Linked DNA regions of Bombyx mori. The protein of the gene in region 1 purifies or fractionates together with the protein of each later gene. This does not show direct contact. Links are inferred from orthologs where the notes say so. Each region holds a gene or a part of one and is shown on either strand. Other genes may lie near its edges.

What was found. Proteins that work in one complex are often made in the same cells at the same time.
Region 2: the proteins of transcription initiation factor TFIID subunit 4 (region 1) and transcription initiation factor TFIID subunit 9 purify together in Drosophila melanogaster (affinity purification with western blotting; 4 studies listed by BioGRID, with this or other methods). This does not show direct contact. The link is inferred for Bombyx mori from reciprocal best matches to the Drosophila melanogaster genes Taf4 and Taf9.

Annotation. Positions count from the first base shown.
Region 1 is NC_085107.1:19,832,903-19,841,472, forward strand, and holds the start of transcription initiation factor TFIID subunit 4, read right to left. Parts: upstream 4,872-8,570; 5' UTR 4,849-4,871; coding exon 4,033-4,848; intron 2,872-4,032; coding exon 2,707-2,871; intron 1,085-2,706; coding exon 923-1,084; intron 627-922; coding exon 417-626; intron 1-416. UniProt on the Drosophila melanogaster protein: TFIID is a multimeric protein complex that plays a central role in mediating promoter responses to various activators and repressors.
Region 2 is NC_085109.1:1,354,916-1,363,485, forward strand, and holds transcription initiation factor TFIID subunit 9, read right to left. Parts: upstream 4,781-8,570; 5' UTR 4,585-4,780; coding exon 4,217-4,584; intron 3,644-4,216; coding exon 3,421-3,643; intron 3,048-3,420; coding exon 2,928-3,047; 3' UTR 2,858-2,927; downstream 1-2,857. Other genes in the region: Jnk (c-Jun NH2-terminal kinase), read right to left, coding at 8,401-8,565. UniProt on the Drosophila melanogaster protein: TFIID is a multimeric protein complex that plays a central role in mediating promoter responses to various activators and repressors.

The DNA.
Region 1 (8,570 bases):
AAAATCTCAGTATAGTTACAACGGCTGCCCCACCCTTCAAACCGAAATGCATTACTGCTTCACGGCAGAAATAGGCAGGGTGGTGGTACCTATCCGCGCGGACCCTCAAGAGGTCCTACCACCAGTAAAAATTCACGCCTTTATCGATAATTCGTTTGCTAACGGATAATTGAAGCTCTGTACATTTGGAATTTGAAATTTATTTTATCACATGCTTCTTATTTAAGGAACTCTACAATGTTAAAGACGGTATTATAAAATTATTTTCCTAACCAAACGACAATAATATAGTCAAGCCACTGTGACCTCCGTGCGGACGTAGCTGGAATAGCCTTAGGCCACAAGTGAATCGATAGGAAAAAAAGAACTCCTATTTTTTTTACCAACTGACTATGATGGACAGAGGATTCTAGTACCTTTAAGAATCCGATAAGGCAGGGCTGAGGACTCGCGTTAAGTAATCTTTCAAGTCTGTTGCAGAACTCTTCTGGTTCAACTTGGGCGTCGATAAGTTCCTGGATCAGATTCCGTACATTCATCTCCACTGATGGAGGCTCTTTGCTTGATAAGTCCAGGAGATTTGCTAAGAAATTACGGCATTTTTCCTTAGTGTTGTCCGAAGGTTTCTGTTAAAATTTTAGACGAATTGTTTATCGGAGACTTATCATAGTACTTTTTATATTTTGAAATCTGATATGAAAATATTTTTTCTAAATAAAACGAGATTAAAAGCAATATAACATTATAAATCTTGACCGCATCATAGTGCACTGTCAGTAAGATCTGCATCAGGTCAAACCACCAAATACATTTCCAAGGTAAAATCGTGTTCACACAGTTTCATAATCATGCAAAGCAAAAGGAAAAAAAAAAATTAATATAATTAAAGAGCGAAAATAAAAACACGACACACATAACTTACAACAGTTGTTACCGTTGGGGGTTGAGATTGAGGCGGAGGCGTACCGCAGTTTATATTTGGTATAGATGCTGGTATAACAGGCGTTGCCATCGGCGCAGCTGGCATCTGACCCGGTATAGGGCTGGAGGCCATGCTTGTTGACACCGTCGCGACGCCAGGATGCTGCACCAATAGATCCAGCCATTAATCATTGACCATTTTATAAATATCTATATTGCTGCCACCACACTGCACCACAAACTATGTTACTCGGTAAACTCTCGACTCATTTTTGAGAATTTTAAGTTTAATACCGGACGAGAGTATACCAAGACATCTAAACGAACGCAAATAAACTATCATTTGTCAAGGCGTCAATCACAAGCTTTTTAAAATATAAATATATGGAAATGCTTTAAATGTAAGGTGCATATGAAACTGGTAAAACGTAATTTTATCAAATGCATTTTGGTTATTTTTGGTGAATCATTGCAAGCTGGCAATTGCATCCAATTAAAGATATTAAATCATTTCAACCAAACACAAAAAATAATCATATAATTTACAACTATAACTCTAAATAGTTACATCTCCACTTCATCCAGAGAATTTTGAAACCAGGTCGTCCTCAGAAATGCTCCATAAATGAAGAAGCTCCATTTATTAATTTCATTAATAATTTTATATTATTGAAAGCATTCCATAATAGTGCACTTATTACTATATAGTTTCACTTGGAAGTAATCAGGCTGCTACAATATTATAAGTTTTCCAAAGACATTTGGACATTATGCTCACCCTTGCATACTTTATTCCTTCACCTTATTTAAAAAAAATATACGATACATACATAACTGTGTATGTGAAGACAGTGCATCAAAGCAATCATATTACAATAATCCCACTTGTAGCATGGTACTCATATAATGCATTTTCATATTACGCGATTTCAGCCCCTTGTATAACACGGGTGTTCACCTTATAACACGGGGATTTTTATACTGTGAAATTTATTATGATTTATACAGTTCATAATTAATTTTGCGTACTTTTGCACATTGTGTTAATCATTGTTGTTATAAAATAAAATTAATTAATTTATTTTGTGTTCCTAGTTTATGAATTGTAAAAACATTGGTTATATTGCATTATATTTATATATATTTGTATAAAACGCGTGTTATGGGATCACACAAGTGCGTCATATGAAAATACTCCTACAACGTGTTTCCTATAACATGGAACCAATTGACTGTGTTATAGGATGGATTACTGTATAATAATTTATAATAGATATTTTTGATATTTTTAAACAATGGCTTGTCTGTTATACAGTTAAGATTATATTAATCAAATAACTTATAATTTCTAAAATTTATAAAAAATTTATTAAAGTATAACACTAAATTATAAATATATCTATAAACACATATCTAATTATATTGCATATATTATTGTATTTACTAATAAATATTTAAATACTTGAAGCAGCTTAATAACTATGCATAATAAGCATGCTCTACAGCTAGCACGGACATTTGGCTTATACTTAGATGTACTGTTGGGGTACCAGCGCATATATTTATGCCTTACATTAAACTAATGAATCCAGGTAATTAGTATTTATAAGTAATGATACTCCAATTAGAATCTTCTTACCTTGTTAATAAGAACATGCACCTTCACCACATTTGTACATGCATGAACAACATGAAATTGGACAAACATGAGATTCTCAATGTGGCGCAAGAGAGAGGGGGGGTTGTCCAATCTCAGTCAGGGTGTGAGTGGTTGTGCCTACTTACTGCTGGCACAGTGGACAGCCTGATGGTTTGAGGCTGGGGCGTCGTGAGAGAGCTGGCCGCTGGAGCGGGACCCACTCTCAGCAACTGGTATTGACCATTCTCTGTCTTTAACAACAAATGACCCTGCTGGCCCGGTTGTAGACTTGGTAGTGTTTGCAGCGTTATCTAAAAATTGAACGCTTCAATTCAATTTCACCTACTTCTTCATTAAATGAAGAGTAACAAGTGAAAGAATATATATTTTACTAAATATAAAATTGGAATGCGAATTCCTAAAGCAGGTCATTTGTTAAAATTTATAACACACTTCAGTGACATGACAACATTGACGGGACAGGTGACTGTGCAAAACTAACATGTATATGATATGATTATGACAAGGTTAGGATGGGTTAAGCTATTATTGATTACAATATTATACAAAAGCCCGAGTAGCACAATGCAATTATATATGACATATATGACATCTGAAATGAAGCTTTCTCAGATTCCATTAAACTGGTAAAGATTGCTTGATTTCATAAATTTTACTAATATTTTTATTTGTAGCAGTTTTATGGATTCCCAGAAAATTATATAATAAAGTTTAATTTATAAATCCATGTTGTATTAGGTTTATATTTTGAGGCATTATTTGATTGTAGGGTAGCAGAATTCAAAGTTAAATTTCAGCTTGTTTATGATATGCAAACCACTGAAAATTTGTTGAATCACCAGTGGGCCCATTTCCCATTGATAAAAGTTTAACAAGCAGTATTCTGTGTTTATGTGACAATTTGTGCAAATATGCTAAGAGTTTTAGATGACAGTGATGTTGCCCGAAGAAATCCATCCTCTTCATGTTTCAGTGAAATTTATTTACAGATAAGTGGGTATCTAAGAATTGTGTTAATATCTTTTGTACATAACCATAATGAACCATGTTATAACATTTATTTTTACAGCATAACATTATAATGCAGAAAGATCCTGTAGATTTTTTCTTTTTTGTTTTAGTTCCTCTATAATGTCTATTGTTAATTTGTTTTAGGACTGATAAAAAGACAATAAAAACAATAGAAGATTCTGATTTGATTAAATTAGAAATTAATAACATTAACTTATTTTAAGTTTAATGATTTTTATCTTTTACAAACATTTCAGAAAAGTTGCAATATACTATGTTTTGAATTTCCTAAATATTGTTTTATTTATAAAAGTTTTTTTTTTTTTGGTGGTATATTTACTTTACAACTTGTATCAGTCCTAAAAGTTTTAAATAAGTTTTAGTGACAAAACGCTTGGATAAATAATTAATGTATTAATATTTTAACATTTGAGACTTACGCCTGGTCCTGCAGCTCTGGTGCCAACAACTTGTGGGGTGCCTATCACTACTCTTGGTGATACTGTTGCTACTGACTTTTGTGCCGCAACTGCTGGAGCACCAGCTCTCATATTCAGAATCTGAACATTAGGGAGTATTGTGGGCTGACTCGAACCCAAGTTCTGAGTTGTTACAACTACATTTTGTCCAGGTTTGTTCAAAGTCATTACATTTGGTATTGAACCGGACATGCTTGAATTGGCTGTCATCGGTACTGTGACCATTCCAGACTGTATTCCCACTTGGCCCGAAGACGTCCCCTGTTTTAAAACTAAAGGAGGTTGCATCGCGTCTACTGACGTTATCAAATGATTTTGGGACGAGGACAACCCAACGAAACCGTTCGGAAGTGACTGAGCGGGAAATGTCACCGAATTTGGGTTAGAAAATGCTTGAGCCTGAGAATATATAACTTGTATGTTATCGTTACAATTGGTCACAGTACCACCCGGTGTCAAAGAGGAATAAGTACCAGGAACACTTGATTGGACATTATTACAGGACGTGCTATTTGTCAACGAGGGTCTGTGTATACTGTTCGCGGCAATACCGCAGCTAACTCCGCCTGTTGTATATTTATGACCACTTATAATAGAGCCCGCGTTCGAACTTAGCCCGGGAAACTGAGATGATAAAACGTTCACTAAAATATTTTGTGACGGCGCCGACGATACGTTAGTAACTAATTGGTTTTCGAGAGTGCCCACGATCGCGTTCACGGCTTTCTCGTCGACGTCTGTGGACAAAGCTTCCTCCAAAAACTCCGTTGACGCCATTTTCTACAAATCAGCGGATATGACACTGGACGGTTACAAACCGGTATTTACCGACAAAATGTGGTATCACTGCTTTTGGAAACAACTTTTATTTTTTACTTTTTAGATTTTTGTCTGTTTGATAAAAAGTACTTTTTTTAAGACAGCCCAAATAAAATCACTACCTTTTCAATAAAAAGAATAATTTTGTTATTTGACTGAAAATTGTACAAATGTTGGTAATACATGCTAAAAGTTGTCATACCTCAGATGACTATATACAATATTTACAGTTAAATACACAGGGACATAAAATAAGGTACATAAATAAATAAATAAACACCAACTTTGTGATCTGTTAAAAGTGTCCGCCAAAAAGTAGAACAGCGTCTTTGTACAAAGGTGAGCCAATTTACAACTGCAAAGGTTTCAGGCTAAAACTTATTCTTAATTCGCTATTCATAACTATATTTTAATTTTAAGTCTCTTTTGTTGTGATTGTGTTAGACACTTTATAAATTACGTTCTTATCAAATCCTAATGTTATAATACCACATTTTACTCCATCTAAAGTGATCGACATTCCTTAATGAATTGAATTATAATGAGGTCTAAGTCGCAAGTCGCAAAATTTTAGTTATGATATTAATTTATATTTTTGGAAAAATATTAACAAGCTAAAAAGCTACGTTAATATTTTTTAAATTATCTATACCAATATTATAAAGAAGAAAGATTTGTTTGTTTGTTTGTATTGAATAGGCTCCGAAACCACTGAACCGATTTGAAAAATTCTTTCACTGTTTCGAAGCTACATTATTCCCGAGTGACATAGGTTATATTATTTTTTGAAAAATTTAGGGATCTTACTAAAACTAAAACTCCAATAATGTAACCCAAGGTGTAAAAAAATTACCTTCAATATTCTTTCCATCGCGTGCCCTGCGAAAACTATTGATAATAGAATAAAATAATGTACAACTTTGTAGAACACATTATTTACAAAAAGTGTCGCAACAGCATATGTACTCTTATAGTTATTCCGCAATAAGTGTTCTTTTATTTAAAAAAAAATAAAACAACGTCAAATATCATTGAATTTTTTATTAAAGACCCGAGCGGAGACGGTGCGGGCCGCTAGTACTGTATAAATTGAATTAAATTCACGAAAATTTTAGTGCGTTTCAATATGATTAGTAGCATAAATAAAGTAGAGTAAACGAAATAAACGAAATAAAACACGATTTTAGGGCGAAATAAAGAAGGGACTTTAAGTGGGCTCCCTCAGAGGGTAGAACCCAAATATATTAAGTGTATAATCTATAGGCAGAACTAAGGAGTACCATCTAGTATATTAAAAAGTGTCCACTGAAAGGGAGCCAATTAAAGTGCTTTCATAGTAGCAAGTGGAAAGATTTTAAAACAGCGCCATAAACGACCACACTGCTGGTATGTTCCGATTTGCACAGCGAGCACTGTAAAGTGTGACGACAAATTAGTATACTGCGAAGCCGTTCCTTTACAGTACAGTTTAATGTCATCGACGTGGTCATGGCGGTGTTTTCACTTCAGCAAAAATTCTTGTTTAAATTTAGTTATATTTGAAAATAGAATATTCAAATTATTGTCAGTTGAATAAATCGCCAAAAGTAAACTGTATACTTTTTAGTAAAAAAAAAGTTGTTTTTCAAGCAATTTAATGTATAATAACTTAATAACCGTATTATTGAAATGAGGTTATGCACGGTAACCAAATCCGTCTACAAAAAAAGTAAAAGCAGTATTAAATTAGAGTCAAAAGGAGACCCCTTTCCAATAAACAGAGGCGTAAGACAAGGTGACCCATTATCTCCCAAGCTGTTTAATGCAGTACTGGAATGCACATTTAGAAGATTAAACTGGGATAACTATGGTATTATAATCAATGGAAGTCGCCTCAATCATTTGAGATTTGCAGATGATATTATCTTGCTAGAAGAAGATCCTAAGAAACTTGAACACATGATTAAAGAAATAGTAGAAAAAAGCAGAGAAGTAGGGCTAGAAATTAATGCAGATAAAACGAAACTAATGACGAACTCAACAGAAAGAAACATAGAGGTAAACGGAATCAAGTTCGAATATGTGAAGGAATTCGTTTACCTAGGACAAATTATATCTTCTGAAGACTCCATGTCCAAGGAAATAAACAAAAGAATAGCATGCGGTTGGAAAAAATACTGGTCCTTGAAAGAGATAATGAAGAATAAAGATCTAGGTATACATATCAAGAGAAAGACTTTCAACACTTGTATTCTCCCTTGCATGACTTACGGCTGTGAGACATGGAAATTAACTGACAAACATAGAGAAAAACTTGCTAAAACAGAGAGAGCAATGGAAAGAAGCATGTTGAGTATCAGACTTAGTGCAGAATTCGAAATTGGGAAATAAGAAGGAAGATAAAAGTAACGGATATAATAACTCGTATAGAAAATCTTAAATGAAGTTGGACAGGACATATTATGCTACGTGTAATAAGAGAAAATCTTTACTGAATATAAGGTTTTAATAAGCTAAAATTAACAGTAAAATTTGCTTTGATTACATTAGGTACATTGACAAATAACGAATAAAACAGATTGACAATTACGTCAACTTATGGCTGATAATTTCAACTAAGAAGTTTACATCACTACGTTGCAAAAAAAACAAGTGGAGTAAACAAGTAACTTTATGGTATCCAAGAGGGGACACCAGAAGACAGGGGCGACCAAAAACGAGATGGAGCGACGATACACGCCTAACCCTAGGACCATACTGGACCAGAGTTGCAGAGGACCGAGCCCAATGGAGAGAGCTGGAGGAGGCCTATGCCACGAGGCACGCTGAACTGCGAGATATACTATAAGAAATAAAATGTAAAAAAAACACAAAAATGTAAAATTTCATGGTTGTAGTTCGGAATTAAAGGGCTTTATTATTATTATGCACGGTAACAGTGATGAAGTGAAGATTTATGAAATCATGTATTTCCTTAAGTTACTGCGACTGTATACTGTCAGTCCTTAACGTCACAAATATCTCTGCAGTAAGAGCACTGAACACTGCTCGCAGTGTAAATCGGAACAAAGCCTTCACTGTAATCCAGCATACTTCACTCAGTTTAAAAACTTCTTCATACTATTTCCCCTTGCAACACTAGCGGTAATTCGGTGACTTTTGGAACTATAATGTGCTATTTACAGATGGACACTTTTTCAACTTGTCCCCTATACAATATGGTACTCCTTACCTCTACTCTCCATGTTTTTCGATGAACTAAGTACGATATTTCTGAAAATATGTTTGGATTGTGTAATACATCGTGTTAGTAGCAGTTAAATAAAAAGATAAATGGCCATTATGGCGGTTTTGCCAAAAGTTAAAAAGTCTGCAATGATAAGTCATGAGCTTACGTATTATTTAATTAGATTCAAAACCCATTTTAGTCAAGATTATGCTAGCTTCACCGGATTTCTTACAGTTTAAACTTTATAACTTTATAAAATATATTTTTTATAACTTTACTAAGACTTACTAATCATTTTTCAAAATACGACGTTGGCAGCTATGGAAATATAAGAAATCGATTGCCATACTGAAAAAAAGACAAATTTTATCAAACGTCAATTTAATATACGTCAATTCAATTTAATTTCTACTTCTAGTTTTACACTTGTTCTGTTAGTGTGTTATGTGTTTAGTTTTGTATTTTTAAAATT
Region 2 (8,570 bases), on another chromosome or scaffold:
ATACGAAAAGAAATAATATTATTAAGCATAAACAAACAACATTAGACTTAAGACATATACACTGTGTTTTTAGTTATATTTTATATTCAGAAATCAATATAATATCAAAAATTTTAATAGAATAAATTATATTTCAAGTTTTATTGATTGTGTTTGACTTATCTCCATAATTAATTAAAATGATGACTTTCCTACCTAGCATATCTCAATCTAGTATGCAGGACTTTTAAAAACAACCATACCTCGAACTATTAAATAAATCTAGACCAAGGGTGAGCAACCTTTTTAATCAATTGGCCAATTTAAATTTTTTTTTTTGACGGACCGCCCATTGGTTAACTCCTAATAATAATTTACGAAGCTTTACTTATAATATTAGAAGAAAAAAAAAAAGAAATTTCCACATATTACTAATGCAGGATAAAAACAAACAAGAAAAGAACAGAACAGAAACGAGAAAGATGGCGGACCGCGTGTTGCTCATCCGTGATCTAAACAAACAGAATGAAACAGAAAGTTAAAAAAAAACTTTAATATTTATAAACTTACCCTAAACTTAGCACAAAATTGATTTTATTTCCTATTACAAAAAGAGGCTGAGCTCAATGTGTCCATGAAATTGATATCTATCAACGATAGCTAAATGCAACAGGAGGTAAAAAAAATGGATACATTTGACTGACTTGCAAAAAATTTGAAGATATAAAATAATACACTCGCGAGCAAAAGTTTGGAATCACTTACTTGAAATTGATTCCGCGCGATCTTGTGTACTAAATATTATTTTGATAATCATAAAAATGAGATCATTTTAAAGGTTGAACTCTTAACTTTAAACTGATACCAAATTCATTCAAATCGAGCCAGTAGTTAAGGAGCTATTCCGGATTAAGTGAAGGAGGTAGGAAACAAAGGAAATATGGAAAAATAATGAATGCATAAAACAACAAAAATTAATAAATAAAAATTTTATTTAGCCTTAAAATTAAATGTCAGTACTTTGTGTTCCCTTCCCTTGCCCTAATAACTCCTCGAAGACGATTCTTCATAGACCTGATCAGGTTTTGAATTGATTCTTGTGGGATACCTTCCCACTTCTCAATCAACGCCGATTTCAGCTCATTCAGGCATGAAGGAGCAGAAGTTCTGGAACGAACCCTATTCTTCAGTTCATCCCACACGTGCTGAATAGGATTCAAGTCAGGGCTGAGCGCAGGCCAGTCCAATGTGGCGATATAGACTTCTTCGAAGTATTCAGTTGTTCCACGGGCAGTGTGACAACGAGCGTTATCGTGCTTAAGGAGGAAGCTATCACCGGCATATCCCGCATAGGGAACGACATGTTCCAGCAGAATATTGGAAATGTACCCGTCCGAAGTTGACCGCCTCCTTGTCCCCCGCCAGGCACGAAAACAAGCTCGGTTTTACCGTCGAAGGAAATGCCGGCCCACATCATACAAGAGCCGACCCCATAAGCCACTGTTTCAGCGAAACAGCACTGCGCAAATCGCTCCCCAGGCCACCTGTAGACCCAACCTCTTCGGTCGCTACCATGCAAACACATCCTGATCTCGTCGGAGAACAGGATTTGCCTCCATTGCTCAACGTCTCAATTAAGATTGGTACGAGCAAATTGAAGGCGTGCTTGTCGATGAGCTACCGTGAGTTTCGGGCCTGTGACAGGCCTTTTTGGAGTCAGATTCGCTTGCTTGAGTCGTCGACGAACTGTCTACTTGCTAGCTGCTACCCTACGAACATCTCGGAGCTCCTGTTGGACGTGGACACCAGGTTAATGCCGATTTCGGAGAGAGGTTAACACGATAAAACGGTCATTCCTCTCCGATGTGCCCCGGCGCCGTCCAGATCTTGGTCTCGGGATAAAGCTATCAGTCTCTTGAAAGCGCTTGCAAACTTTTGAAACACAGGAATGGCTTATTTGGAGCCGACGAGCGACAATCCGCTGGCTGAGCTCTTCTTGCAATAGGGCTACGATTTGTGCTACTTCTGTAGGTGTTGTCCCAATTGTCGTACAAGGTAAAGAGTCAAAAGTAGCCGAGATATGTACCAGTCAACGTGTGAAAGTCGACTGATAAAGAAAATCCGATAACAGGTGCTTTTATAGGGGTCAGTAGGCCGCAACTCGCGACGTATCAAGCAATTGAAACACGTCTTTTTCGTTATTCCTTCACTTAATCCAAGATAACTTCTTAAATACTGGCTTGATTTTAATGAATTTGGTATCAGTTTAAAGTTAGGAATTCAACCTTTAAAATGATCTCATTTTTATGATTATCAAAAAAATATTTAGTACACAAGATCGCGCGGAATCAATTTCAAGTAAGTGATTCCAAACTTTTGCTCGCGAGTGTAGTAGATGACAAGTTCTGTGAATGCATTTTTATCTTACCTACTCTATTTTAATGCCTTCTTAAATGTATGTTAAATCACTGTAGATATCCTGTTCTCATCTAGAAAACTACAACACATAATATCAAATTCAATTCAAAATTTGCACGGCAGCCAAGCTATACGGTCGCAAATTAAAAAGAATCTAGTTGTGCATCAAAACGGTATGAGTTCACCTCCAGATCTTACTTAAATTATAGGGCACAGTCAGACAGTGACTCTTTTAATCTCAGATTCTCTTACTTAAATCTTTCTGTTATTATATTATCTTTAGAACTTTTGGCAAGCTATTTCATTGAAATATGATTCACTTAAAAAAAACAGGAAAAATTCAATTTTTTTGTTGTTTCTACCTACAGTAATAATTAAAATACCCTTAGTCATATAAACCATACAATCTGAGCAATTTGCATCATCAGGTTTTATGGAATTAATCACTAAACAAACAGGATTAAACACATGATACTTTTTAATATCAAAATGTTGATTCCAGGCAGAAAGATCGTGATCCTATTAATTATTTATAGATCATAATCGTCGTCTTCTCTTTTCCGTTTGTGGCTCATTGGCTCGTCTGTCTCCATCTTGATAGGAGCCTGTGAGGAAGGACCAGCTGTCACTCTTACAGCTGGTTTTACTACCTGCAATATAATTCATTGACATTTAAATATTGTGCTAACTATGAAATGTCAGAAATAATGTAAAGCAAATAAAAAATGAAAGATTAAAATTAGTTTTAATTTATAATGTAGATTTCAATACATAATCAGATATAATAAAAAAAAATTGTGACGCAATTTTGATATTATCAAATATAAGTTGACATTTAATTAGACAAAATAGATATTTCGTTTTGTTTATATCATAATATAGATTATCAGTTTTCAACATTTCAAATTATTGTTAGGAAATAAAGAAACCACTTTTTAATAGTTCAATCTGTGATGAATATGATAAAGCATAGTGCTGTCTATTTATCTATTCTATAATTTTAAAATTAAACCAAATTCTTACTTTACTGCTTGATGAAAATTTCAGTACAGGTTTTGTTCCGAGACTGGTTTTTGGGGTGCCCACATTCACAATTGCTCCCGGTGGTCTCTTCATAACAACTGTCTGTTGAGGTGCTTTGGATGTGGTGACCGTTTTTATGGACGGGGAAGGGGTTATCGTAGTTTTTGTGATCACTTTCTTGGTTGCTGGTTTCAGTTTGTAATTACAGGATGACAGGCAGTAACTGGAAAAATGAATATTCTCTGTAAACATGCAGCGATTTACAAGTTAACCATATTAAAAGGCTCTGGGTGTTAAGGGAATCTCATGTTTCACACAAAATTAATCAAAATTATTCCATAATTTCCTTTGTTAGCGGAATTGGTCCATAGTGTATTTCTATTCATCATTTTTACTATTATACCAGGCTCCCAAATGCAACCATTGGTGTTTATGGAGTATTCTGACATTATTTCAGTAAGGTTTGAAGACTTCTTAGTAACAGGCAGTATTGAAGTATCAGTAACTACTTACAAATTGTAATAAGACAATCTGTCACCTAAAGATATTGTTTACAAGAAGACTTTACTGAACTTTGATTGTGAACACAATATTGTTGCAATCAATTCATGGTGCGCAAATTACATACGTGTGGTCTAAAGTGGAGTATTTTTCCCTCAAGTCCGGTGATTGAACCTTGAGCTATTTAAGCTAATCCTGATTTTTGAAGAAATTATCTAAGTCCATACTCACGAAAGATTAATATAATGTGCTGTGAGATATAGGATTAAAGTGTGCTACATTTTCCAATACTTACCGATCCGGAGGCAGTCTTAACCCGCAATGCGGCTTTATCAACGGCAAAGGATTAACATTCTTGACCCTCGCGATCTCCAGTAGCACTTCACGGGGCGGGGGATTCGTGAAGGACTTGTCCAATTGCATTTGAGCTGACAGTCTCACATCATCAAGATCTATAGTTTTCTTTTTTGCGTGGTTTGCAAATATCCTTGCATCATCTAATACTGATGTAACGTAGCGGTATGTGAATTCTAGGAGCTGGTTCACGACTCTCGGTTCATAGTCAGTGATACCTACTTCCTTCATGATGGACATGATGACTTGGGCATCTTTGGGAATGTGCTTAGCTTGACCACCCGATTTGGATTTGTCTTTCTCTGACATCTTGTAGTTTTATTTGTTATTTTAATTTTAGACCGAATTATTTCTGATTTGTTTAAAAATCTTTTTCTTAGTCATAGTATTGGCATACTTTATTTTGGTAACAATGCTATAAAAACAACACTTGTGCTGTGATTGTGACAGATCTATGTTGTTTGATGACGATTGTCAAGTCAATTCAAACTGTCAGTGTCAGCCATTCTGAGCCATTGACATCTTCATTTCAGAACACATTTAAAAGTATATCTCTCTATGGTTGTTGTCAGAACTTGGAAACAAACAAAAAACTGGTGCGCGTATAAAACTTGGTGCACGTGAAAGAAGTGAAACTTCAATTTATCTCGAGAAATAAGATTAACTTAGAAAGAAGTTGTTACCAGTATTCGATGATTACCGAACGAGTCCTTTGGTTTTACAATAATAATATGTTTAGTGATAATTACTTTTATTTAAAATACCGCCTTCTGTAAATAATTTAGAAACTAAACTGTTCACACCGATGGTCTTGCAATGTAGTAGTTAAACGAAATCCAATAGATGTCACTAAATTAAAAAACGACCTAACTCGCTTTGCCCTTTCCCTCTCTCCACGGTTGAGTGGTTCACAAGACGCCCTACCTATTTTCTTACTCTCGCTCTTCCTAAATTGTATCTTTTCTCTCTAGCCGTAACGAATCTGTCGCGAGTTAAATTTCACTCTCAACGCGCCTAAAGAAGTTTTACTTCAAAAAATATATAATGAATTCCTTTTTTCTTATTTATTTCGTTCATCAAACAGCTGTACAGTTAGTTAACAAAACTAACTAAGTAGCTGGTTTCAATATCTCTACTTTCAATACCTTTATCTTTAAACAAATGTAAACGCTTATCCCGCACTGTCTTACGAAAAAAATATTACCTAGATATTAAATTTCCTTTTATGCATTTACATTCAAAACAGAAATCATTTTTCTTATTTATTTATCTTAATTAAAGTACTCAAAATAAAAAGATATATGTATGTATATTATTTTTCGGCAATATTGTAACAAAATGAAAAACTGGTTTGTATTATTTGGTTCATTTAATTTTAGGATTTTCTTAGATTTAGAGAATATTAATATTCATTTATCAACCGTCTATAAACTGTGAATTGAAAAATAAATTAGAATAGATATCCATAATCTGGTTTTTTTCTGCCGCAAAACAGTCAAGCGTTCCCGTTTGATGTTTCTTTGTTCTGTTGGAATTTAAGCAATTGCTTGCCTTTCGACAAGTTACACAAAAAAGTTAGATATCCACTTAATAACAGTCTGGCAGGTTTTTTTACTAAGATAGCCAGTTCTGATTAGCGCCATGTTCAGTTTATTCATTCATTCATGAGACAGTATCTTGGAAGTAGGACTATTTTAACGATGGTGAATCAACAAGAATTGTTTCTAAAGTCACTGAAGGTTGACATGGATTTTGAAGGGTATTAAATAAATAAAACATACAACTATAATAACCATTTCGATTTATTCAGTTAAAATATGAAATAACTTACGTGTACAGTAAAAATAAGTATTTTCAGATATCAATCCAATTGTTAAGTGGGTCGCTTCGGACGCTGACACGTCGCAGCACGGCGATACCTTCACGAAATGTACTAGAATATCGCTAATGATTACATTAATGTAATATTGTATTAGGTACATTAACTAATACATGGACAATTTGGACGTACACTTGTCAATATTATTTATTTATATTAATTTAAGATAAAACGTATTTATACATAGGTATAGAAACAGTTCACTTTGCTTTTGTTCCATTCAATTGCAACAATCATTATGACATACACAAGTTACGAATGACATTAGTCTTATAAAATACAAATGAGAACAAAAGTAGAGCGAATCGGTTTAATAGATGTTTCGTAGAGAAGTGACGCGTGCACACACATACACACGCGCGTACGAATGCACATATCATTATTGCTGTTGTCATAATGGCGCCATAACGCCATCACCAGATTAGTATCCACTACAAATTGTGCTACACCATGAATATTATCACGACAATCGTCCATCACTATCACTTAAAACTTATTATATCACCTAATGAGGTTTCAAACGATAAACTACGGTGTACCTCACACATTCATTACTAAACGAATGTCTTCCATCTAAACACGCAAATCAACTGGATATTCTACAGAGACGGATTGCGTTCGTATGTAATATTTTATTAGTAATTAAATGCTCTGTATGTTCCGATAAAAGGCATACATAAATATGTGTATATAGATAAATGTTGCCAAGTAATTTATCGTTATATTTCCGTTTATTATCAACTAATTTAGCGTTAGAAGTTTATGTAATGTAATGTTTGAAGAAACTTCTAAATTGTCTTTACTCATTATAAATATTTATGATGTAATGATGAAATAAGATAACTTTTATCGATTTCAAATATGAAGCTACAAATTTTTTGGTGAAACTATTATTATTCTTATAACGGTAATTAAGTTCCGTTATGTATGTAATTTTATATTACTGTTTTTTTTTCTCATGTGTTTTACGTATCTCTGTTTCCAGTTCCGTTCTACATCCAAGGGTGACGTGTGTGAGGCTTCCTATAAGTAACTACTTAGGTAAAAATGTACTTACGCTAGTCGCAGTGAATACGATATCAACAACCTAACTAATCTCTAATTACCGAAGAACTATTAACATCACAAAATCCCAACTATCAAGATGTATGTACGCGACCAAGAAAATAATGTTTTACATACGCACGGCCTCACTCGCCTTTGTCTATGGCCTCGATTTACACTTCTATGGTAAACGCGGGAAACGTTTTTTTTTTAATTTCATCATCGATTTCGGAATTTTAAGGTGAGATATGCAACAGTTATAGTCGATAAACTTAATATCGAACGCATTAAACAACTAATAATGATTGCACGTTAATTATAATTATACAATAAAATAAAAATTTAAGAAATAAAAATAAAATTTTCAATTACATTCGATAACAACACAGAATAAGCTCAACTTTCCGTATCATTAACTTCGTACAGCTAGTTTACATCATTACGTACTTTATATTTAAAATAAATCAATTCAAATAAACAATTGCATAGCATTAAGATCCATAAATATATATATAACATTTATTTTTCACAGCTTATCAAAATTGTTGTCATTACAAAAATATCCAAACGTATGAAAATATAGTGGACAAAAGCTGAAGTCGTCGCCGCGTCGGGTTCGCTAAAGGCACTCCGCAGTGGAAATTATTACTCGAGTGGTAATTACGAACGAGAACTCAACTGTGACGGAGAGGGAGGGGGAGGGAGGGGGACAAACAGAGCTTTTGAAAAACGATAAAAAGCGCATTGTAGCCTTCACACTAAATAATAAAACTTATGCTATGAATATAATACGTCATAAGAACGGGAAGAAACTACGTAACGGGGCGATAACGGATTTGAAACAACAAGCGGGGGGACGCGGGGGACGCTGGGGGGGGAGTCGACTGTGACCCAGCGCAGCCAGGAACGTATGTCCTCGAGGGATCCCCTCGGAATTTCTTTAACTTCGACCAATTCTACAAAAGGCATATTTTTCCCGATTTTTAATTCCAGACTTTCTCGAAGGATCCTTATGAGATTGTGTCAAATAGTATCTCCAAAAACAATCACGGGTTATTCATACAAGGTACCACTCTATTTTGTGTTACGGTTTATAAATTCACATCGTTTTCACATAGGGTTATAGATTTTGAGTGTATAATACCCTATGCGCAGAGGGTGAGTAGTGTTCCTTCCTGGCTACGTGAGGGAGGGGGCGGTGCCTACGTGGTGAGTGCGGGCTGCGCGTGGTCGGCGGGCGGGGGGTGCGGGGGCGGGGGGTGGGGCGGCGCGGAGTACTCGACCACCTCCTGGTAGATGAGCTGCTTCCACTGCTCCACGGTGTGCTCGCGTTCGTCCACCGAGTGGTCGTATGAGGCCGGTGCGGGCTGAA